Linked DNA regions of Rhinolophus ferrumequinum. The protein of the gene in region 1 interacts with the protein of each later gene in a pairwise test. Links are inferred from orthologs where the notes say so. Each region holds a gene or a part of one and is shown on either strand. Other genes may lie near its edges.

Region 1 (11,788 bases):
GCGGGAGTCGAGGAGTTTAACTGCCTTGTGGTTGAGAGCCCACTGGCCCATGTGGGAATCGAACTGGCAGCCTCCAGAGTTAGGAGCATGGAGCTCCAACCGCCTGAGCCACTGGGCCGGCCCAATAAAGACAAGTTTTAAAGTGGCAACACATTTGTTTAAACCTCTGGCTAAATTCAGAATTGATTAGATTGGTACTAGTTGCCATAAAAAATGAAGTTCCAAATCTCAATAGTTTAACATAACACAAGTTCACCTCTGGCAGCAGTGGTGATAATTTGTTGGAGAGGCAGGGATGGGGAGTTCACTTTCATAACTCTAGTCAGTCATTCAGAGATGCACGCTGAGAGGCTTTGCCAGTTTCAAAATGTGGCTTCCAAGACTGCCCTATGTGTTGACATCCAGAATATGGAAGACTGCGGAAGGTAGTAGAAGTGGTTTTCATGGACCAGGCCTGGAAGTAATAAGCATCACGTCTACCTATATCACATGACCCCATCTAGATGTGAAGAGGCTGGCAACCGGAAACACTTGCTCGCAACCGGAAAACTTGGCAACTTCTTCCCAGCAACAACACACACTATGAAAAGGGGGCACATGTCTTGGATCTTCTGTCTTAGTTTGAGTTCTCCCAGAAAACAGACTTCAGACAAGACTTTTCAAGTGTTTTATTTAGTAAGGAAAGAAACACAGATAAGAGACGGGGAAGTGAGACAGGGAAAAGAAAGAATCTAAGTGAGGTACTAAAAAGTCAGTTACCACTGTGGAGACCGGAGCTTAATTCCACTGAGAAAACTCTGAAAGCCAGGGCAGAATATGCCATCCAAGGGGCATGCAAACAAGAGTTTTGTACACCAATTCTTGTTAGTCATTGTTTGAGAGTTTTGTCCATAGGTCATAACCTCTCACCCTCTGGCCTACTGTGCAGGTAGCAAAGCAGACTCCTGGTGTCAGAGAATGCCTTCATGCAAAGAAACACGGATGCTGGTAGGTTGGCAGGTAGAAGTTTCCCAATGTGCTTAAGAGCGGTATGGTTGAGAGGATATGTGTGGGATACTAAAGTTCTGCTACACGGTCTCTACCAGAATCCACCTTACGGTCCAGTGACATATGGACTGAAAACACAAGGTGCTGCCCATCCCCTAACAGCACACCTGATATACAATGGTGGAGCAGGGACAATAACTACAATATAACCCACTTTCAGAAAGGGGAATGAAGACCCATAGCTGTTGCTGGTCAGTGTCAACTGTAAAGTCCTGCTGGACAGGCACTGACTAGGTGGTTGGTTCCTCTGCTTGATTAGATTCAGATTCGCTCTGAAAGTAGCTCCTTTGCTCATTGCTCTCCAAGGTCCCTGGCACCTCCCTCTGGGAGGGTCTTCCCTTTCCATCATTCTCTCTAGACACATCTGCACGGTATTGAAGAGTTTGTGCATCTTTGGGGCTGTAGGACTTTTTACCCACTTTCTACTATGCAAGCTTGAAGATTGTATCAAAGTCCGAATACTTCAGGTTTCTGGCTTCCTTCACAAAGCTATTATCTCAAAACTTGAATAACCTGCATATCTATTTGCTTCCATTCAGTTTCATGTGGTAGTTCTCAACCTCACATATATAAGGTCAAGGGTGAGGCCTGACTGATTAGACTGGTGAAGACACATGAGACACTTTTAGATATAGATTATTACTTCCATAGAGAGCAAAACAGAATAAGCCAAAGGTGCCAGCTCCCCAGTTCCGTTTTACACCAAAAAGGATGACACTGAAAGGAAAGGGGCTGCAATGTGTGTTGTGGGAAACCCCATCTCTGAGGAGCCAAATGTCCATAGCAGCTAAGTGATTTTATATTCTGCAGCTCTATTCTGAGGGGAGCGGGGCAGAGAACCCCATACCTCATCAGAATCTGGGAGGCAATGAGAAAGTGATCACAGCCTCCTGGGGAGGCAGGAAGATGAGTGAGAGGTGCCCTCTTAGCTAGCTGTTCCTTAGAGGCTTCCCATCCTCTCACGTTCCAGCAGGATCACAAGGTGTTTGGCCAGGGGCTCAGATATACTGCCATCCCAACCTCTGCCTATATGGATCTATGCAAAGTTGCCAGAAAGACATGGTAGAGTTGTTTCCCTACAGTACAGCGTTTCTTCCAAAATAAGACTGGGTCTTATATTAATTTTTGCTCCAAAAGACACATTAGGGCTTATGTTCAGGAGATGTCATCCTGAAAAATCAAGCTAGCGCTTATTTTCCAATTAGGTCTTATTTTCAGGAAATACAGTAGTAGCCATACTCACAGTTCTCTCTAGAACTAATTTTCAAGCCTGATTGCGATCCTGGGCACAATACCTCTCTCTCAATTGATGGTGTTTACCCAGCTTGCGTGGGAGGACCATACTATTTAACTAGTTCTCTTCCACATGGATGAGCTGTAATGGACGTTTGCTGCTCAAAACGTCTCTTAAGTTTACCTCTTGTTTGCAGCACCTAGAGGCACTCAGCTTTTCCAAACTTGCAAAACCTCACATTTTTGGATTTATAAATTCTCTTTTATGTTTTCTTGCAAACAAGCCAATTCTTCCACGAGCTTGTTGTCTCTTTCTTATAATATCTGCTAAATTCAGCCAGTACCAACCAGCAAGTGCTGCTAACATTCAATTTTACCTCCTTCCCTGCACCTCAGCAGACTCTGTAGGTCTATGTTTTACCTTCCAGGTTACTGAAGACAAGAGTTTATACAAATATTTTGCCACTGCAAAGCCTATTTCTGCAGTAATAAAGATAATTTACTCACCTCATTTTAAAATCATACCTTTATTTATTCCCTTACATATTTATTCATTTATAGTACTAGAAAATATAAAACTCTCAAAAAATCTATATTTAAAATTTTGAGAAATCTTATCTATGTAGCAAAATATAACAAGAAATAGTCATATTCGCACCACCCATATTTTAAAAGTAACTATCTTGTCATATTTGTTTCCTGTTTTTTCATTCTAAAAATAGATAAATATAAATTTCCCTTTAATCTTACTCTAAGCAGGGTCTGGAGTGTCTGGTTCTAGGTGACAAAAGTGCCAAAGAAATAGGGAGGTGACCCTGAAAGCCAGGGAGGTGAGGGGGAAGTTAATCCAAACTCCACCTTCTGAGGCAGCTGCCTGAGGGCATATCACAGCTATTCCCCATTTTCACCATCTTAATAACCACAACCCATATAAGCTCTTTCACCCTTTCCTAAAAAATCTTTGTTCAAACAAACTTTAATGTGCATCACAATCACCTGGAGGGCTTTTGAAAACACAGAATGCTGGGACCCATCCCGAGTTTCAGACTCTGCAGGCCTGAGGTCAGGCCCAAGAATTTTCATTTCCAACAAATCCTCGGTGGCGCTGATGCAGCTGGTCCAGGCAGTCCATCAGATAGAGAACCACTGCTCTAGTTACTGCCCAAGATTAGGTCCCTCAGGGACAGATACAGACCCTGTCTGCCTGTGTGGAGACACGGATGGGAGATCTTGTCCCCTGGTCTCCTGTTCTAAAGACGAGGTCGACTCCCCTGCTACCCTGTTTCCCCGAAAATAAGACCAGCTGGACAATCAGCTCTAACGTGTCTTTTGGAGCAAAAATTAATACAAGACCCGGTATTATATTACATTACATTATATTATACTATATTATATTACAAAGTCCCGGTCATATAGTAAAATAAGACCAGGTCTTATATTAATTTTTGCTCCAAAAGACGCATTAGAGCTGATTGTCCAGCTAGGTCTTATTTTCAGGGAAACACAGTGTTGAAATACAGCTGGCTAAAAGCTAAAGGGTTGATTTCATTTTTCCTCATCTTCATTAGTGACATCTGTGACTCTCCTTCCATCGAGAGGCCTCCACCCAGCCCCAGAAATGTCAGGAATAGGCTCCTGTCCCGATGCTGACCTTCGTGCAGAGATGGGCAGGCAGCATGTGACAAGGAGCAATGTGGTTGGTCAGGAAGGCCAGAGGTTTCCAGTCACACTGCCTCTTCCCAAGCCCAGGTGCAACCACTTCCCAGCTATGTGGCCCTGGTCAAGTTACACAGTGCCTGAGCCTCATTTTCTCCATTTACATAACTCAGGACAATGATGCCCACATACTACAGGATTGATGGGAAGAGTAAACAGGAATAGTGTAAGTAGGAATGTAAAGTACCCTCTAAATAGTAATTATTACTACAGTTTCAAAACAGATTTGCTTAACAATTAACTATGACATCCTTTTTTTTTTTTAAACAAGTAACTTTTGTTTATTTTTAAACAAAACAACAATGGGCCGGGCCTTTACCTTTGAGCCCAGTGTTACTGTGTCTGACTCACCTTCTTTGGGTATATTCAGACATTTAGACTCAACACAGCTCATTGCCATCTTTAGGTGCTAAGAAGAAAAAGAAAAATAATGGAAGTATATGGCATTAAATTGTCACATTACTCAGTCCAAAATCATGAGATTCTCATCTCAAGAGTCAAGAATAAAATAAGAAACACTATCTAAGCAGTCTGTGATTGGTAATGAATAAGCCACGATTTTATAGTCCCATTTTACCTCCTCTTCCCTGAATCTTTGCCATTTGAACATTAGTTTCCATCCCAGAATCTCTCCTACATTCAGGAAGTTAGAGAGAAAATGATAATGCTCATTGAGGGCCCAAGAGTGGGGGAAGATGACTGAAGATCTCAGCAAAGACCCCTTTGCACTAGGTGTATAATTCGAGTCATCCTGACATTTTTCTCCCCTTCAGCATTCTTGGCTGAAAGTGGTAGGCAGTAATTACACTCTTGCTACATTAGAGGATAAAGAACCCAGTCCGCGGAGCCTGTGGACATTAAGAACGTCCAAACCTGTAGAGAATTTTTGTAAAAACTTGTCTGAGTCAAACAGATACACCTGGAAGCAAGATCTCAACAGACTGACATAAATTCTTTGAGAATAAATTCGCAATTTTTTTCATGCCTTTGAGATTAAGAAGTAAGGAAGATTACACGAAGGTGGGGGAAAGCAAGGCAAGTCGGGATCGGATTACAGGATAATTAAGATTCACTTTAGAAAGTCTGATACGAGGGCATTTCAAAGGTGTTGTTAACCTAGATGCACAAAAACAATGGACAGGGCTGCCTTAAGGCAAAGACAAGCCTTTTACTCAAGTTAGATGCCTCAGGCGTGACTACCCCTCATGACCTGCCCCCTTCGGAATTTCTGATCAGATCACCCTGTGGGGTTCCTTTCCATAGAACCCCATTTTCCTCCACAAGTCAAAGACTTGGCTAACATCCTAATTCCATCACTTACCGTCTGACCTTGGACACATCATTGAATTTCTCTAAGCCTCAGCTTCTCCGTGCCTAAAATGGAGATACTACTCCTTGCCTCACAGGGTCGTTTTGGATGATAATAAACGGTTTCTCTCACACTGCCTGGCCTACAGCAGGTATAAAATATTTCTTGAGAAAACTCTCTTTTCCCTAATTTTATTTTCCCAAAGGTTAGGACCTCCTCTGAGGTACTCCTGGCCCCCAGCCCCATCCCCTGAGCCGTGGGCGCTCGGCCAACTCCCAGGGTTGCCCAGGCCCGCCCTTCACAGCCCCAAGCCCAGGTCACCGGGCCCAAACTTACCGGCAAAGCCCACAGCCCACTGAGCGAAGGGCGGCTCTGCCACCCACCACCCCTTTGGACGACTCCACCTTCCTGCCGCAGCTGCGCACCGCGTCACTTCCGCCAGAAGAGGCGAGTTTGTCCGCGCGGTTGGCGCGAAAGTCGGTTCCAGGCCTCGCAATTTCCGGGTTTTGCGTGTTTCGGTCCGGGGGCGCCGCGGGTGTGGCGGGTGTGCGCCGGGCTGGCGCCCGACCACCGCCGCTCTCCTGCCAGCCGCGCGGCCCCCCACTCACCGTCCCCAAACCCTCAGGCTCCACCGAGGTGAGTGAGGCGCGGACAGAGGACCTTGCTTCTTTCCCACCCCAGCTGGGGGTCGCGACGCTTCCTCTGGCCTTCGGGGCCCTCGTTTCCTGCCCTTGTAACCGGCGGGTGGCACTTAAACTCCAAGGAGGACGTGGGTGCGCCTGCGCCAGGAGCCAGGCCTTTCGCTAGGAGCTGGGGAGCAAGAGCGTCCTGCCTGTTAGGGGGCATGACCTTGCTACCTGCCTTACGTGTTTATATTTAAAGTTCGTTTAGTGAGGGGTGAACAAACCTCGAGGGCTATGGGTACCCGCAGGGACAAATTCATTCTGTGTATCCTTCAGCCAAGTGCAATTGAATGTTCATTGGCCGGGGGGAGTTAGACAACCCCTCCCCCCCATAGCAAGGGTCCTCAGATGCATTCAGTTTAGGGACGTATTAGATGTATTCGTTCTCTGGTTTGCAAGGATTGGTGTTGTCATATTTCTCCTTGACTCTGCCCACATTCCAGCGTTTCTTACAACGGAGATGGCTGAATTCATGGACAAGGCCAAAATGTCTATCCTTAGGCATTCTTGTCTGCACAGAAAAATAGGTACTTTAAGCATTTAACTTCATACATAATGTGTTTTTGTTCTTGTTAATGGTTCCTTTATTTTGACAGTTTAAAAATGTCCAAAAATGACAAAGAACCGTTTTTTGTGAAGTTTTTAAAGTCTTCAGACAATTCCGAATGTTTTCTCAAAGCTCTTGAGGTAAGAACAGTTAACATCTCGATTGATCCTGTGAATTCATTTTCTTCATTTTAGTGATTTTGGTTTATTGGGCTTTTATGTCTTGGTAATAATTATTTTCATAATATGTAGTTTTACTCTACATTAATATAGATATGTCATTATATAAGTATATCAAATCTATTATGACATTTCTATTGAAAGTGGCAGACCTACTGTTCTTGGGAGTTAAATTAAGTTGCTTTCTTTTGTCTACTAACCAGAGCAGACCTTTGTGTGTTGAAAAATTTTGAGTCAGCCATGTACTGGTTACACTTCATATTTTGGGGAGGTTAATTGTTAAAAGTATGTTTGATATGTACAGTGTAATACGGGAGGACGTAGGGGTAAGGTGGAGACTTGCTGCATACAGATCCCAGCAGCAGCAGCATGGCTTGAGAGTTTGTTATAAATGCAGAGCCTTGGGCCCCAACTCATGCTTACCAATCAGAATCTGCATTTTTAACAAGATCCTCAGAGTGATGCCTGTGTACATGAAAGTTTAAGATGCTCTGTTGTAGCAGGTTTTTCTTTAAAGTTCACTCATTCAGCAAAAAATTACTGAGTGTCCATGGTCTGATAAGCACCGTTGTAGTACTTGGGATACATCAATGATCAGAGCAGGCAAAGATCCCTCCTTTCTCAGAGTTTACATTCTATTCTAGCAGGAGGAAATAGACAATCAGACATGATAAATGTGTAAACTATACAGTACTACAGTGTACTAAGTGCTTTGGGAACAGAAAAGAACAAAAACAGGTTAAGGGGTTTGGAGGATGTTTGTTGGGGAGGAAGAGAAGGAAAGGTTATAATTTTAAATAGCGTGTGATCAGGGTAGGTTTTATGGATATTTGAGTATACTTGTAGGAGGTGACATAGTTAGCTCTTTGGATATCTGAGGAAGATTTCAGCAAACAGACAGAGGCCCCTGGGAAAGTGCTTAGAGTGTCTGTCGAACATTAGTGTGACCGTAGTGTAGGGAGCAAGGGATGGAGGAAGATTAAGGGATGCTGCAGAGCGTAAGAGTGACGTGGTCATGTCGGGCCTTGTCGGCCATCCTAAGGACTTTGGCTTTTAGTTTCAGTGAGGTAGAGAGTCACTGTGGGGTTTGAATCAGAAGAGTAATGTAATCTGATTTAATTGTTTTAAAAGGATCATTCTAAGTGTCTAACATAAGGACTTTATATTTTGTTCAGAAAATATTTGAGTGCTTACTGGGTGCCAGGATGTGGTGGCAAACAAGATCATGAAACTTTCTTGTAAGGGATTAAGACAAATCTATATATATGTACATAATACCCGTATTATTTTCCTTCATGACATAGACTGGAGGAATAGGGAAAGGGTATTTTAGAAAGTATGATCAGAAAAGGTATCTCTGAGGAGGTGACATTTAAACAGGTATGATTGAAATGACAAATCAAGTCAGGTGAGGACCTGGGAGAAGAGTATTCCAGGCAGTGGGAACAAGAGCAAAGCCTCTAAATGAGGTCATGCTTTGCTTGTTCCAGTCCTAACAAGAAAGTAGGAGTAGCTAGAGATAAGCAAGAGGGTCGCGAAGTAAAAGGTAAAGGTGGGGAAACAGGCAGAGGGGCCAGACTCTCTGGTCTTATAGGCCATCATAAGAAATGTGGATTTTATTCTGAGTGTGCTGGGAAACCATTGGAGGTTTTGAGCAGAGAGTGGCATGACCTGATTTATTTTGTTAAAAAGATTGTTAGGTGTGGAGAACAGATTTAGGGCAGAGGAGAGAGAAGGTCTAAGTGAGAGGTGATGGTATTACCAATAGAAAAAAGGCTGGATTTGAGATAGATATTGAAGATAGACTTCATAGGACTTAAATACAAGTGACTAATTTTAAGTGTAATCTTACTTCATTTTTTTCTTTCAGTCAATAAAAGAGTTCCAATCAGAAGAATATCTTCAGATTATTACAGAAGAAGAAGCATTGAAGATAAAGGAGAATGATAGATCACTTTATATCTGTGACCCTTTTAGGGGTGCTGTCTTTGATCACCTCAAAAAGGTTTGCTAACTTTTAGTACATTCCTTCAGTAGTCTGTTTTTTGGTTTGTTGTTGCTTCAGTGGACATAAGTTCTTTACTGATTACGAAGTATGCAAATTATGAATACAGAGGAATCCTTTGGTTTTGGGAGACCAGAATATTTTTAAAAGCTAATTATGTTACAACAGACTTTTGTTTTATGTAATTTTTATATTTCAGGGGATTTAACTTAGTATAAGTGAACCCCATAGTAACAAAGCATTTTAGTGATGGAGTTCTGTACTTAAATTCAGAAAGATAGTGAGATATTTCAGGGAGAAATAATGAAAAGTAGGAAAAGACCTCAGCATAGTGTTTGGTTACTTCCTGTCTTTCCTACGTGCTCTTGGACACAGAATTTTAATGCCTGTGCCTTGTGTAGGGTCTGAAAAATTAGATGCTAAAAGGAAGCATTTAGAGATGAGTATTGTATATATACCAGCGAGCCATTCTATTTCTTTTTTGTTGATTCTAGAGTCTACTGACTCATTACTTTTTTTGGTGTCTGGACAAGAGAAGCACTGAAATGAAAGTAAGCTGGCTATAATTCCATCCAGATTACAAAGAATTGATTCTTGTTCGAAGAAGGAAACATAGAAGAGTAGGTAGATGAAGTATCTGTACAATTTATGGAAGGTGTGCCCACTTTTGCCAAAAGCATTGTTGGTCTTACTTTCCTTTTGGAAATACTACTGCTTGTCAGATAGAATCGATAGCATCAAAACTCAGTTTTCTTATGGCTGACCAAGAAGATAGCAATAATCATTTACCTTGTAGATATTTAAGTCAGTCATGCCATGGTGACTTTGACAACTGTAGGGTTTTCAGTCTGGCTTGAATGTTGAATGTGCTGGTGTTGAGCAAGACTTCGCTTTTCTTAACTCAGTTATCAATGAAAATGAAAGGTGATTTTTTGAGTAACCTGCAATATCATAGGCGAAGTCTTTGTGGCTCTTCCTTGGAAAGACTGAGTTGCAAAGTATTTAAAACACAAATGTAGAAACTGCCTAAGATTATATGTTTTTTTATGTGACATAAGAGGTACTTTAGAGAGGAGTTATTTAGGCTTACATTTTCAGTCTATTTCATTGGCTGGGTGCTTCATTTGAAAAATATATGTGGGCATTTCCTAATTATTTTAGCATAAGAGCACTACTCATGCCCCATTAAGATTGTTTCAAAGATTAAAATTTTGATGGTAATTTTGAGTGAGTGTAGCTCTTAGAGCTTATTTTGATAGCCTGCATTGTTTTGATTTGTTTGTGTTTTTGTGTCTAATGTGTTAGTGCAACTATTTTTTCCTTGTAACAATTTGGTGATTTTTCTACAGTTGTCATCAACTTCTATAAAGAATTGATAAATATTACAAAATGTAATAAGACTGGAGGTCTTTTCTTACTTACTGAACTTTTTCTTTTTTTATAGCTTGGCTGCAGAATTGTTGGTCCTCAAGTAGTTATATTTTGCATGCAACACCAGCGATGTGTCCCAAGAGCTGAACATCCAGTTTATAATATGGTTATGTCTGATATAACTGTATCTTGTACAAGCCTGGAAAAAGTCAAAAGGGTAGGTGTTGGGTGTTGAAGTGTTGAAGAATATCGTGATTATTATATCTGTATTTCCACACTTAATTTTTCACTGTGTAGAATATACTTTACAAATATACAGTATACAAAGTCAGTATACAACAGTGTGTATCTTTTTTATTTTTTAATAAATTGAATATAGTGGAATCTGTTTTATTGAAAACTGGCTAATTTAAGTTTTTGTTTTGATCTAAAAGGAAACTCACTTTTTCTCTATATAGTCAATGAGTTTGTGTTTGAATCACTTAGGTTTTTCCACCATAGACAGTTAATATATTAAAAAAGGAGTCTAACAGATATATAATATATAGTTTTGTGTTATACATGTAATTTACATATTTAAAAAATACTCGTGTATAGAGGCAACATAGTTTAATAACGTCATGGCATTGAAAGAGAAACATGGGAGAATAATTTGTAAGGGTAATTATTTTAAAATTTATTTATATTTCATATTTATCTTACTTGGAAAAAGTAATTTGGTTAATTATTTAACTTTATAATGGTGAGAAACCTTTGTGCATTCAGGATAACAACAACAAAAGATATTTATGGGATAGTGTATAAAAATAGAAGAAAGATTGCTTACATTATTATTAATAATGTATTTTCTTTGGGAGCTATAGGAAGAAGTTCATAAGTGTGTGCAAATGATGGGTGGACGTGTATACAGAGACCTTAATATATCAGTAACTCATCTTATTGCTGGAGAAGTTGGCAGCAAAAAGTATTTCGTTGCTGCAAACCTAAACAAACCTATTTTGCTTCCTTCTTGGGTAAAAACACTTTGGCAGAAGTCACAAGAGAGGTAAGAAAGACATTTAGATACTGTCTAGTTTTGAAAAACAATACAGTCAATCATTTTGGCTCATTGTGGGTTTTCTTGTGGGTGTCTTATGGTATCCTCTTTGGATCTGTTATTCAGGGACAAAAATGGGATCATTGCTCTTCACTCCATTGAAAACAAAAGAGCAGAATCTAGAAGCTGTTATTGTCAGGGTAGAAGTTGATAGGTGGAATGGGCTATGGGTTTAGCGTTAGCTACAAGGTAAGAAATGCTTCGATAATAAAATTGTTTTCAGCAGTGAATGTTTGTTAAATGGTTGAGAAAAATGAGTGTGGCAGCTGTAATTCTTATGTTGCTTTACCCTTCAGTGCTGTTCTCCGTATGTTAAGATGGAGAAAAAATTAGCCATTTTGGCAGTAGTAGTCCCTCCCAAAGTGGGTATATGTAAGACTGAATATAAACATGTAAACTATTAACTAGGATGTGATCATTCAATAAATGTTAATCGAGCCCATTTTATATGTCTGGCCTGAGCTAGGTAGTAGGTATACGTAGTGAGCAAAACAGCACGGCATCTCTTCCCTCATGGAGCTTAGAGCCTATTTCAAGGCACAGAATTGAGTTTACCCTAAAATTTGATTAACAACCCTAAGTCCAGGTACCACTGTTTGAAT
Region 2 (11,926 bases), on another chromosome or scaffold:
ATAGTAATTCATTTATGAATTATATGCAGGTACTACTATAATATTTAAAAGAATGAGATTAAAATAAAAAGTTCTATCATTTGTTTCCATACCCCGATAGACAGTTTCACATATGGTAAGCTGTGCATACTCCACTGTCTTAGAAAAGAGCTTCACATCTTAATTCAGGAAACCTGTATCTACCCATTTCATGAACTTGATAATATTTACTTTCTGAAAGACCAGAAATTTAAAAATGAGACATTGCCCTGCACAAAGTAGACCTTCAATAAATTAGTTATAATTAAAAATGATTACTGTATCTTCACTTAAAATAAAAGTGTATCACTTTCATATTTACTATATACAAAAATGGATTCAGAAACAGTGGATAGTACTTGTGTTAAAAAAAAAGGCAACCTTTTGATTCTGGGATATGAAATTATATGTGAAAATGTGGGGGAAAACATTTAACCGAAAATAGACAAACCTTGTACTCTTAACCTAGAGTTGACTTCTATGAAATGTATAGAAAAGAAAATCAGGAATTGTTTGAAAAGTGTGAAACTTAACTTTATGGTTTGGCAAATCATTTAGAGATTAGCTGAATTTTAATACCTGATAGTTGGGAAAAGAAACAGGAGAAGAATAATTGTAAAGGGAGAATAATTTTGGTTTATATAGGTTTTTTGGCTTTGTGATGAAGGTAACATTTCTGAAAAGTGAGAGGTTACATTAATTGTACAGATTTTGTTTTCTGGTCCTGCATAAAAAGTAAAATCTATTTAATATTAGTAGTATTTGAATTGTTTTAGCCATAGTCGGGACATGGTATCCAAATAGACCTCTGCCAGTTCTACCACTGGATTTCTTTGCCCTGAATCTTTGGAATCTGGGCCAATGGAACTTTTGTTCTTCCTGATATTTATGCCTATCAAATGATCTAGTTTTGGATTTTGCCTATGTCCCCACTCAAATGCAAGCCCCACAAAGTTCGGAAAAAAATTTTTTTTTTTTTATCCTTCTGTTACATCCCCAGTGCCTAGAACAGCACCTGACACATTTTAACTAGCCAATATTGATTTAAAGAATGAAGCTATCCATCCTTCTGCACACCTTAAGGCCTCTGAAGGCAGAAGTGAAGAGTGAGCCTGTATGTATTAATAGATTAAGACTGCCTTCTCTGCCAACCTGAAGTCCTTCTTTAGAAGAGTAGCCGAGATGCTACAAGTAAGACTGATCCCTGTAGACAACCATGGGATAATAGTGCCCTTTCCTCTGGCAACTACTTCTCAACAAAGTGTGCTTTGTTGGTCCTCCCCATTTCTGCAAACTTTAAATACTTAACTACTTTGGGCTATAGTCTTTTCTATCCATACTCACCCTAAATCATTTAGTCTCGAGGCTTTAAATTTTTATCTCCAGCCTTGATCTCTCCCTTAACTACAAATAATATATTCAACAGCCCATTCATCATCTCCTGGATATCTAGTAGACATCTCAACATAACTGAAACCAAGCTCTAGATATCTCCCCTTCCCCACAAAACACAGCTGAGCAAAGCCACGCAGCCAAGTCAGGCCAAGATCAGACTAATTGCAGTTACCCCTCAAACCTGTGAGCAAGGAATAAATGCTCATGGTTTTAACCACCGAGTTTTGAGGTGATTTGTTATACAGCAAATACTAATCAATACTCTACCCTAAATGTGTTTCCCCAACTATCTAAAATTGTAACAACCCACAATAACTCTGATACTTCCCATCCTCCATCTCCCTTCTTTTCCTCCATAACACTTATTATTAACATTCATACATTTTATTTATAGGTCTTGTTTACTGACTATATCCCCGATTAAAATAAAAGCTCTACTTGGATAGAAATTTTTTTGTCTGAGTCACTGCTATATCCCCAGAACCTAACAATGTACCTACCACTCAAGCATTCATTAAACAAATAGTGGATGAACAAATGAACAAGTAGCCCTCTGTTCACAACTCTGGTGTAATTCCTATATTACAACATTCAGTATTTTACAAACTTTGCAATTCTCTCAAAAATATAATTCATATCTTCATTCAGTCTGATTCATCTAATATGTCTTAAACCTGGTCATGAGACATTAAAAATCTCCAATTTACTATTCAGTATTTAAGATATGGTGTGTTTTTTTTAACGTTTTCCCAGAAGAACTAAAGGAGGTAGATAGCCCTAAACTTAAGTTGTAAGATATTGAACATCTTTTGTTTAACTCCCTTAAATGTGTTTCCCCAACTATAAATAAAATACCTATGCCACATATAAATAACGGACAGCAATAAAAATGTACAGAGAATAGGAATTTTATGCCAATCCTTGAAGAATGAAGGAATTGGATACTTAGTATTTTGCTCTAAAACATACCATGTGTTCCTATATAGCATATACTATTTTTTTTAATAGCACTTATTCTGGTTTCTCTATTTCCCCCCACAGACTTTAAGCTCTTTAAAAAAGGACTAGTACTCAGCAAATATTTGATGAATGGATATTAGTATTTAAAAACTATATACTACCTAACTGGCAAAATGCAGACGCTCATTTTAGCTACTGTCTTTTCAATTTTTTGGGGGGTGGGAGCATAAAATAAAAGTTCTTCATTAAAAAAAATAGTATGTAAATATACTAAGACTTCAACTTTTAAAAAACTATAAAAAGAACAAATAAAGGAAAAATGTTTGTATACGGATGGAAATGATAAAGATAAAAGTAAAATTAGTGATTTTGAAAAAAAAAAAAGAAGAAAACCAATGTTGGTTATTGAAAAGATGAATAAAATAGACTAACAGCTGGAAAGCCCAACTAAGAAAAAAGATAACGTTAGAATGAAAAAGCAAATCTAAAATTACAAACAAGTAAAAGATTAAGAGAATTATTGGAATACTAATGCAATTCTCTATCAATTTCTTAAATCTAGAGAAATAGTTGGTTCTTAAATCTAGAGAAATGACAAAGTATTTCTAGTATTTCCAAAATCAACTCGAGAAAAGATAGAAAAAAATTATCAGATCTATAACCCTATTACAAATATAAATATTTTCTAACGCTCTAACCACTAAATAAACTATCAAGCTTAATTTTGTAGGCATTGTATACAACCCAGGAGATCAGATGATTCCTAGGTGATCTAATTATTCTATAGCACAGAAGAAAGATGAAAAACTTCCCATTTATTTTTCAAAAGTAATATATAACCAAAATTCCAAAAGAGAGAATAAAGAAAAAATTATTTTAAATCTTCATGAACATAGATATAAAATCCTGAATAAAACATTTGCAGCATAGCAAATAGTTTGTTACTACTACCGGTGTGATGACAAATTATTACACTTCTCTCTTATTTTTTTCATCTGTAAAATGGAGAACATAACAATACTTAAAAGCATGATGTGTAAGGAAGATTAAGCAGTAAGTATAAAGTTCTTAGAAAAGTGCTTGGCATATGGCAAGTGCTCAGTAAATGTTAGCTATTATTATCCCAAGAACAAAAACAACATAATCCATTGCATTACCATTTTAAAGAGAAAGTAATATATATAAATGTAAACATTTGACAATTTTTTTGCAGACATTTTGGCAAATCTTCAAGTAAAACAGGTATAAAGGGCAATCTCCTAAACACTTTAAAAAACATTTATCACACACCAATAGTACAAGTTATACTAAGTGTTAAAATACTGGTCATTTCCATTCAATTAAGTATTAAGATAAAGATGTTCAGTATCACCATGATTATTCCATGTTTTGGAGACTACACTAGGAGAGATGAAATTATTATTTGCAGATGATAATATAGCTAGAAAGTCTAGGGAGGTAAGTAAAATTCTATTAGAGTAAGAGATTTTAGTAGGTTATATAAAAGATATATCAAAAATCAGGATCTTTTTTCCAGAAGCAGCAACAAATTAAAAATGTATAGGAGAAAAAGAGAGCCCACTCACAGTAACAAAAATTATGTAACACCCAGGAATAAACTTAATGAGAATGGTACAAGACTGTAGGAAAAACTTTCTAAAATTTCACTGGATATAAAATACAACCGGAATACTTTTTATTAACTAGTTAGCAGTATCTGTTATCTTCTCAACCACTCAAACTAAAAATTTGGAAACCCTTCGTTTCATCCCTCTCACTCTTTATATCTGAAATTAGTCACTAAATCTTGCCTATTTCACCTCATATACATTTCTGAAATTTGTCACCTCTTTGCTACCTCCACTTCAGTTATCCTAGTTATCCTTTGGAAAAACTCCAGCAAATGTGATATACTCCATACTTCTAGTTTTATGTTTCTCAAAATCACAGCCCATCCAGCTGCCACAGGAATCAATTTAAAACACAAACCTAACTAGATCAGGCCCCAGTTCAAAATAAAAAAGGTCACCACTGAATTCTGAATAGAGTCCAAGCTCAAAACTAATAAGGCTTTTAGTCATCTGGACCCAGCTTCATCTCCTCCTCTTCCTCCTTTTTGAGGCTTAAAATATGGCTCTGTGTTTCCCATATTAAGATATGCAAGCATCTCTGACTAAAAAGATGCTTCTCACAGCTATCATCATGGTAGGGTATACCCTACTAAAGTTACAATATCAATTTTTGGTGATTTTTCAGAAACATTATTTTGTATTAAAATGGATATTTTATGGAAGATATACAAAAAAATGTGTGACTGCTTAAGTTAAAATGCAAGCTCAAAGAAAGATGGCACTTACAAGAAGCTTTGACCCTTTCCCTGGGCTCAAAATGGGGACGATGATGACACATTTGTCATTACTAATGAAAGTCTCACATTACCAAACTGTTATCACTTCATTTGCCAAGGAATTAAGATGTAACTAACACATGCTGAGAACATAATTATGCCAGGTCACTGTCTGCACGACCTGACATGACCTCACCTCTACTATTCTCTCAACTCCAGTGGCAGTGGTATCCTTACTGTTCCTGACACATTGTCAGGCTTGCGTTTCAGGGCCTCTGCCCTTGCCATTCTATATAGAAATCTTTTCCCCTAGAGAGTATTCCTTGCAGTATTTCCTCAAATGTTGCTTTCTCCTTCCTGACCTCCCATTTCTCTTCTTCTCAGCCACCATTACATTAGAGAAATAATTCTGCTGTTATTTTTTTTCTCCATCTCACTTTCCTTAACTGACTGTGTTTATTATTTAGCGTTTTTTTTCCTAAGAGAATGTAATGGTAACGTTTTGTTTTATTGACAGTATGATTTTTATTTTATTCACTGAATCTATTACCTAGACCAGTGCCTAGCACATTGTAGGCTCTAATTAATTATTTACTGACTGAACAATCTTATGCAACAGGTATTACTGTTAGCCAGATTTTACCTTACGAAGAGATTGAAGCAGTGAGAATCTGCCTTAGATCACACAGGAAAAGGTAGAGGTAGGAATTGTAAGCAGACAGCCTTTACCATAACTTTACCATAACTGCATGGTGCCCCTAATTTATGTGGTGAATTCCATAGGTACTGTTTAGCATATTTCCCTTAGTAGACAGTTCCTTCCCAGCAGGAGATACTTCATTATCTTTGTTCCCTTACTGGCGATGTCTAGACGTCTAGCCCACTTTACACACTCAGTAATTGTTTACAGAATGAATGAATGCATATATACATTACCCAATGATTTTTACAGGTATGTCTAATTGGTTAGATTATTTTAAGCTTTCAGATTTAATTTTAAAATTGATTTTTAATATAAAAATACACCCTGCCTTTAAAAATAGTGATGTAAGGAATACTTCCTTTGAATTGACAAAACATGATTTCTGACAAATGGTTTAATAAAAGGATATATACCGTATTCTTACAATTTTCTCCAAACTGCTTTTTAAAGCTTTATTCAACAGTAGCATACATTAAGCAAAAAGCTCCAGAACCAGCTACTCGACTCATTTAATGACATACACATGCATATTAATTATCTGTGATCAAAAGCCGTAAATGACAGCGCCATTTCCATGGACACCGAGATTTATAAAACAATCAATCACGCCAAATAAAAACAGACACCTTCACTTACAAAAACTGACGCTAATGAAATCACCCTCGGAGCAATACCCGGCCCAGGAGTCACCCGCAGGTAGCTTTCTCAAATAAGTTTGACAACGACTACGTTAAGGGTATGACTAACTTGCCACAGAATCCCAATGGCCATAGGTTTACTCTGAGAAACAAGCATTTCTGCGTACAAGGGGTGGACACATGAGCTGTTAAAAAGGGACCCCTCCCAGGCCGCCTCAAAACCTAGAGCCCAAGATTCTCCTCCTCAGAGCTCCTCACCGTGTCTAGACTAGGGGGAAGCGACCATTTCTCAGGTAGAGGATGATGCGCAAAGGAAAAACTGGCTATCCAGCGTGAAGGCCGAGGAATCAAACGAAAACAGAGCGCACTGATGAACAAGGACCCCTTGCGTCTAACTGCCCCTTCACAGCTTGAGCAGCAATCGCATTTCTCGCGAGATTCTCGTCTTCCCGGGATCTCAAAGCTGAAACCTCGCGGCTTTTCAGATCTGAAAGGACAGCTCCCAACCCACTTCACGGAATCATCAAGCTCCTCGATCTCTCTGCCCGTACTCCCCTTCCCTCCATCTCCTCGACTCCCCCACTCCCCTTCCGTCATTGACAGTAGTCAGTACCCCAGGGTGCCCTGGGGTTTCCGGAGCGTGACCGGAACCGGAAGCTTCTGGGAGCGAGGGGGTGGGGTCTCAAATCAAAAAAAGCGCGGCGAAAGCTGGAAACTCGACCTGGCTGGGTCCAGGTGGTAGACGTTTGGCGTGGCGGTGGCGGGTCTCAATGGACTCCACCCATTGCTTGAAGTCCTTGCTCCTGACCATCAGTCAGTATAAAGCCGTTAAGTCGGAGGCGAACGCTAGCCAGCTTTTGCGGCACTTGGAGGTGAGGGGCTTCGCTGTAGTAATATTTAGTTTACCGTTCTGCCGGAGTGTAGCGGCCCCAGGCTAGAATAGAAAGGACAGCTGTCTTCCTCAGCTGTCTTTTTGTCTTGGTAAAGAAGGCGAGTGAGTATCACCCTTGCGTTCCCACCCTCTTCTCCCCGCCCCTAGTCCCTCCTTGTTCAGCTGGCTGCTGCGGGAGGGTCGAGTGACTGCTGAAAGTCCTAGGAAGAGGAAGGTTGGGACACAAGATTGGGGAATTTAGGCTGTGTTTGGGGGTGGTAGAGGAGAAAGCTCAAAGCCATATCTTTTCTTTTGCTTCTTTTTTTTTTTTTTCTTTTCCGTCGTCACAGAGCCCTGACAGAAGACACAGCGATTCTCAGGGGTGAAGGTGATGGGAATGATGATTAAAATTTGTTTTATTCCTGGTCCCTTAGGCTGTTTACAGTCTGAACCTGTTCCTTCCTGCTTTTATTTTAAATTCATGTTGACCTCGAACTTGAACAATACTATTTAAACTTTCTCTGGATTAAAAGGCAATCTCACTAGTAATCATAATAATTTTTCTTTACCAAAATACATTGCTCACAGCTTTTCAGTCCTAAAATACTGAATTGCTTTCATTTTTTTATTAGTTCCCACTGATTTGTGTCTAGAGTAGTTATTCAGTGTTATAACTTTTTTTGCTCTTCATATGCTGTCATTTGTTAAGCATTGATGGAATTCCGCCTAACAATGCTCTCAGTTGAATAATAAATAATTAAGCTCAATCAAGGCTTATTTTAATTCTCTGTGGCAGCTTCTATTTACATAAAGTATATTCTATTTGTTACATGAACCCTAAATAAAAGATTAAATTACCAAAGATTAGCAAAATTCTACAAAGAGAAGGCCATTGTGAATCAGTCTTCGGTGAAAGTGGAGTGCTTTAAATGTGTCTTTGTTCTCTCGAGCTTCACTTGGTGTTCTTTCTACTTCAGGTGCCCATCTCCTAAGTACATTTTCTTTTTCATTCATTACCTCAACAAATTTCTGCAAACCTAATAAAGATGAAGGTGTTAGCTGTTAAATGCTAATGCTTTGCTTCTTAATTAAGATAAAACACTGTACTAGTGGATCCAGAAGCCACAGAGTAAGCTGGGCTGTCAGTTTTGTTGTAAGATACAGAAGTTAAGTATTTCCGATATTAATTTGAAACATTACCTCTCTGAGAATAAACAGATATGTTGTGAATCTAACTACTATGTTATTGTGAATTGAAGGAGACTTCAAAGAAATTTGAGGCTTAGAGAGTGGCTTCTTGATAGTGTTCCAAACTTTCAGGGGGTTCCAAACTGAAAAATAATCTACCATTTAGAGAGAACATACATACAATGCATAACGTGCATTAATCTTCAGTAAAGATCTTGATAGGTTGTTTTTGTTTTGTTTTTTAACATATCTATACACCCAAGTAGCTACCACCCATATCATATATAGAACATTTCCAGCCCCCTATGAGGTTTTCTTCAATGTCCCTTCTCATAAAGTTCAGAGAAGTGGACTTATACAATATGTACTTTTGTGCCTGGCTTCTTTCAGTCAGTATAATCTGAAATTCATTTGTGTTGCACATCGGCTATACTTTGTTCTTTTTTTATTGCTGTGTAGAATTCCATTGTATAAATGCACCACAGTTTATATTCTCTGGTTGATGGGAATTTGGGTTGTTTCCAGTTTGGGGTAGAATTTGAATAAATCTCTTATAAATATTTTCATACTCTTTTTGCGGCTATATGTGCACTAATTTCTTTTATATAGGAGTGAAATTATAAGTCTTAAACAGTTTATGTTCAGTTTTAGTTGAAATTGCCAATGAATTTTTCACAAGTAAATACCATTTACCTTCCCACAACCAATATATGAAATTTGCTGTCATTCATCCACACCGATCTTTGGTGTTTTCAGATTTTTAAATTTCCACCATTTTGGTGATGATATTAATGGTGAATATCTTTGCGCAGACCTCATGAGAGCAACATGAGGATACAAAGAGAGACAGTTATCCTGTGAAAGAAGATTATTCATTCTGCTATTTTGCTGCATGTCTTCTGCTATATTTTTTCTTTATAGTCCCATGCAGAATCCCAGCTTTGAATTGTTTTGTGAAGGCAGAGCTGAACTGGTCTCAATCTTGATGATTTTTCATAGCACTAATCTTACATAATGTTTATGAGCATGGATTCAGGAACAATGAATCCCAATTTTGCTACTATCTCATTGTGTTTACTCATCTGCACTATAACTAGCCCCTATCTTGCAGGTTATGAAGATGAAAAGAATTAACATAATGTACCTAAAACAATGCCTAGGCCAAAGTAAGTGCTAAAGTATTAGTTATTACTGAAATAAATTATATTTGCCTAAAGCATTCAATGGGTATGAATGAGTAAAGAAGAAAATTTGTAAAGCAGTTTTAAAATGTACCTTGTAATAATTATTACATGTTAGAGTACTTATGTTATTGAATTACAAATCCAGTTCTGAGGGAAATTGTATTTAAAGCAGAAAATGTCTTAATCTTCTAGAGGACTAGCTTTATAAGTAGGCAAAAGAGCAATGTTCAGAAGATTCCTTACCGCAAAATATCTACTATCAGTATCTAATTTAACTTTTGGACCTATTTTTCAGTCTCACAGACTTTGTCTTTAATGTTAAAACACATAGTCCTTGGGAAAAAGATACTCTGAAGTTCTCTTATCAGCAAAGCTTTAGAAGAAAAACTCATCTAGGTGAGGGAATGAAAGGACATAGAAAGGAAAGATTAGAGGGAATCTAAAATAGCCTGCTTAGACTTGATCTTTTAAAAATGAAAACATTTAGAACAGATTTAATATAATTCTGAAGTAACTAATTGTTCTTCCATTTTTATAGAAAAGACGTGCTTAATAATAAATAACATTCAAAAAGCATTTTGAAAATAGGTGTCTGACAACTGTTTTTGTCCTTCAATCCCAGCTTTACCTTTTCAAGGGGTAAGGGGGAGAGTGGTTTGTACGGTTGTAAGAGAGGAGTAAAAAGTGGAATAACCAAAGGTAAAGTTTGTGCCTGACTTGGCCACTTAAAAAAATTTTTTTTTACTGCCTTTTTTGTAATTTCTAGCTTCTGGACTCAGCTACTATCTTTGGGAGGGAGCAGAAGTAATCTGGAATTTAATCCCATAGCTAAGCCTTTGGATTTAGCTACTTTTTACTTTCTATTGCCTCCCTCAAAGTAGGTGGAATGAATGTACTGGAATTCATTTATTCAATAAATATATTAATAGTAGAGTGTTGATTTGTAGTCTATGCCTTTATGGAGTGTTCAGTATAGTAGGGAGGATAAATACTATTAGGTCGCCAAAAGTTTGCCAGTTTATGAAACGTACTATAGGATAATGTAATAGGCAAATCTAACCTAGCTGGTAGAAGAGGGTTAGAGGAAGCTTCTTGGAGGAAACAAATTAAAACTGAAACCTGAGTGATTACATTAATTAGTGAGAAAGGGATTGGTAATATTCAGGCAGAGGAAACAGAATGTATGAATTTTCTAAATTAGGAAAGAATGGCCGTGGCACTTTGGAAGAACTAAGTTTTTATTAGAAATGGTAAAGGGAAGAAAACTGCCAATTTTTAACTAACGCATTTTAATTACTATTTTGTAGGTAATTTCTGGACAGAAGCTCACACGATTATTTACATCAAATCAGATATTACCAAGTGAATGCCTGAGTTGCCTTGTAGAGCTACTTGAAGACCCAAACATAAGTGCACCATTGATCTTAAGTATTATCAGTTTGTTGTCTCAACTAGGTAATGTATTTAGTTTCTCTTTTTCAGTTTTTAGAAAATGTATGAATTTAATATTTTTAAGAGGCAAAATTTAGGCATAGAATCTTTCAGCGAATGATTCACATTCAGAAGATTTCTTCTTTGCAGGTCCTTTCAGAACTATTTTTCTTTGTGGATCTCTTGAAAAGGGAATCTTGTATGCATTCTTTCTTAAAATTATTGGAACAAAGAATCTGAAGCGTATCAAAGCTTCATTGTGGTCTACACAAAAGAATGTGTGCTCCTTGGGAAATGCTGACCTACTTTTGAATTTTAAAAAGAGAACATGTACATAATTCCAATATTAAAAACACTACTCAGAAAACTGATTACTAGTGATCAAAAAAAAAATCGTCCTTTTTTGATAGACTACACTGAACTTAGAGCTAAGGGTTAAAATGCAGGTGTTGCTTTTTTATTTCTTTCCTACTTTGTCTTTAGTTTTTAAAATTTCATTTAATTACTTTACAGTGACTCTTTACTCATCGTCACGAACCCTCATCATTTTCACTTTTGCGGTGATATTGGGAATATTTCTTAGTGGTTTGATACGTGTGTTTCCAGATCTTTTTCTATGTTATAACAAATAATTTTAGATCAAATAAATTAACAATTTTGGTTATTTTTAACAAAATGGTATTGCAGAGCACCATTTTTCTTTTTTCACTTGGTGTTTCTCAGGTATCTTTCCATATTGGTATCTTTTTCATCGTCGCCTTATACCACATTGTAGAGTGTTATAATTTATTCAGTCACTTTACTAACGATGGGTACTCATGTATGTTCTTTATTGAGTTTTTGCTATTAGAATCAATAGTGCAGTGAACATTTTTATGTATTTTTGCTCAAATATTTGTGTATTTCTGTTGAATAAATTTCCAGTAGAATTTTCAGATCATTGTTCAATTTGATAATCATTGCTTAATTGCTTTCCAAAAAGGCCATGCTAATTCTAACATCCACCAACTATTTGTATGAAAACTTTCAACATTTAAATATATTAGAAGTTTTTTAAGTGATGGTCTTTATATTTGCTTTTTAAATTTTTATTTTTTAATTAATAGATTTTATTTTTGGAGCAGTTTTTAGACTACAAAAAAATTGAAATGATAATCTTTTGACAGCAAAATTTCTACAAATACGTAAAGC

What was found.
Region 2: the proteins of TOPBP1 (region 1) and CIP2A interact in a two-hybrid assay, tested with the Homo sapiens proteins (2 studies listed by BioGRID). The link is inferred for Rhinolophus ferrumequinum from reciprocal best matches to the Homo sapiens genes TOPBP1 and CIP2A.

Annotation. Positions count from the first base shown.
Region 1 is NC_046300.1:33,939,369-33,951,156, reverse strand, and holds the start of TOPBP1 (DNA topoisomerase 2-binding protein 1), read left to right. Parts: upstream 1-5,796; 5' UTR 5,797-5,941; intron 5,942-6,467; exon of another isoform or gene 6,468-6,515; intron 6,516-6,584; 5' UTR 6,585-6,591; coding exon 6,592-6,675; intron 6,676-8,584; coding exon 8,585-8,719; intron 8,720-10,163; coding exon 10,164-10,307; intron 10,308-10,953; coding exon 10,954-11,135; intron 11,136-11,788. UniProt on the Homo sapiens protein: Scaffold protein that acts as a key protein-protein adapter in DNA replication and DNA repair. Composed of multiple BRCT domains, which specifically recognize and bind phosphorylated proteins, bringing proteins together into functional combinations.
Region 2 is NC_046285.1:36,203,502-36,215,427, reverse strand, and holds the start of CIP2A (protein CIP2A), read left to right. Parts: upstream 1-6,625; 5' UTR 6,626-6,831; coding exon 6,832-6,933; intron 6,934-10,611; coding exon 10,612-10,759; intron 10,760-11,926.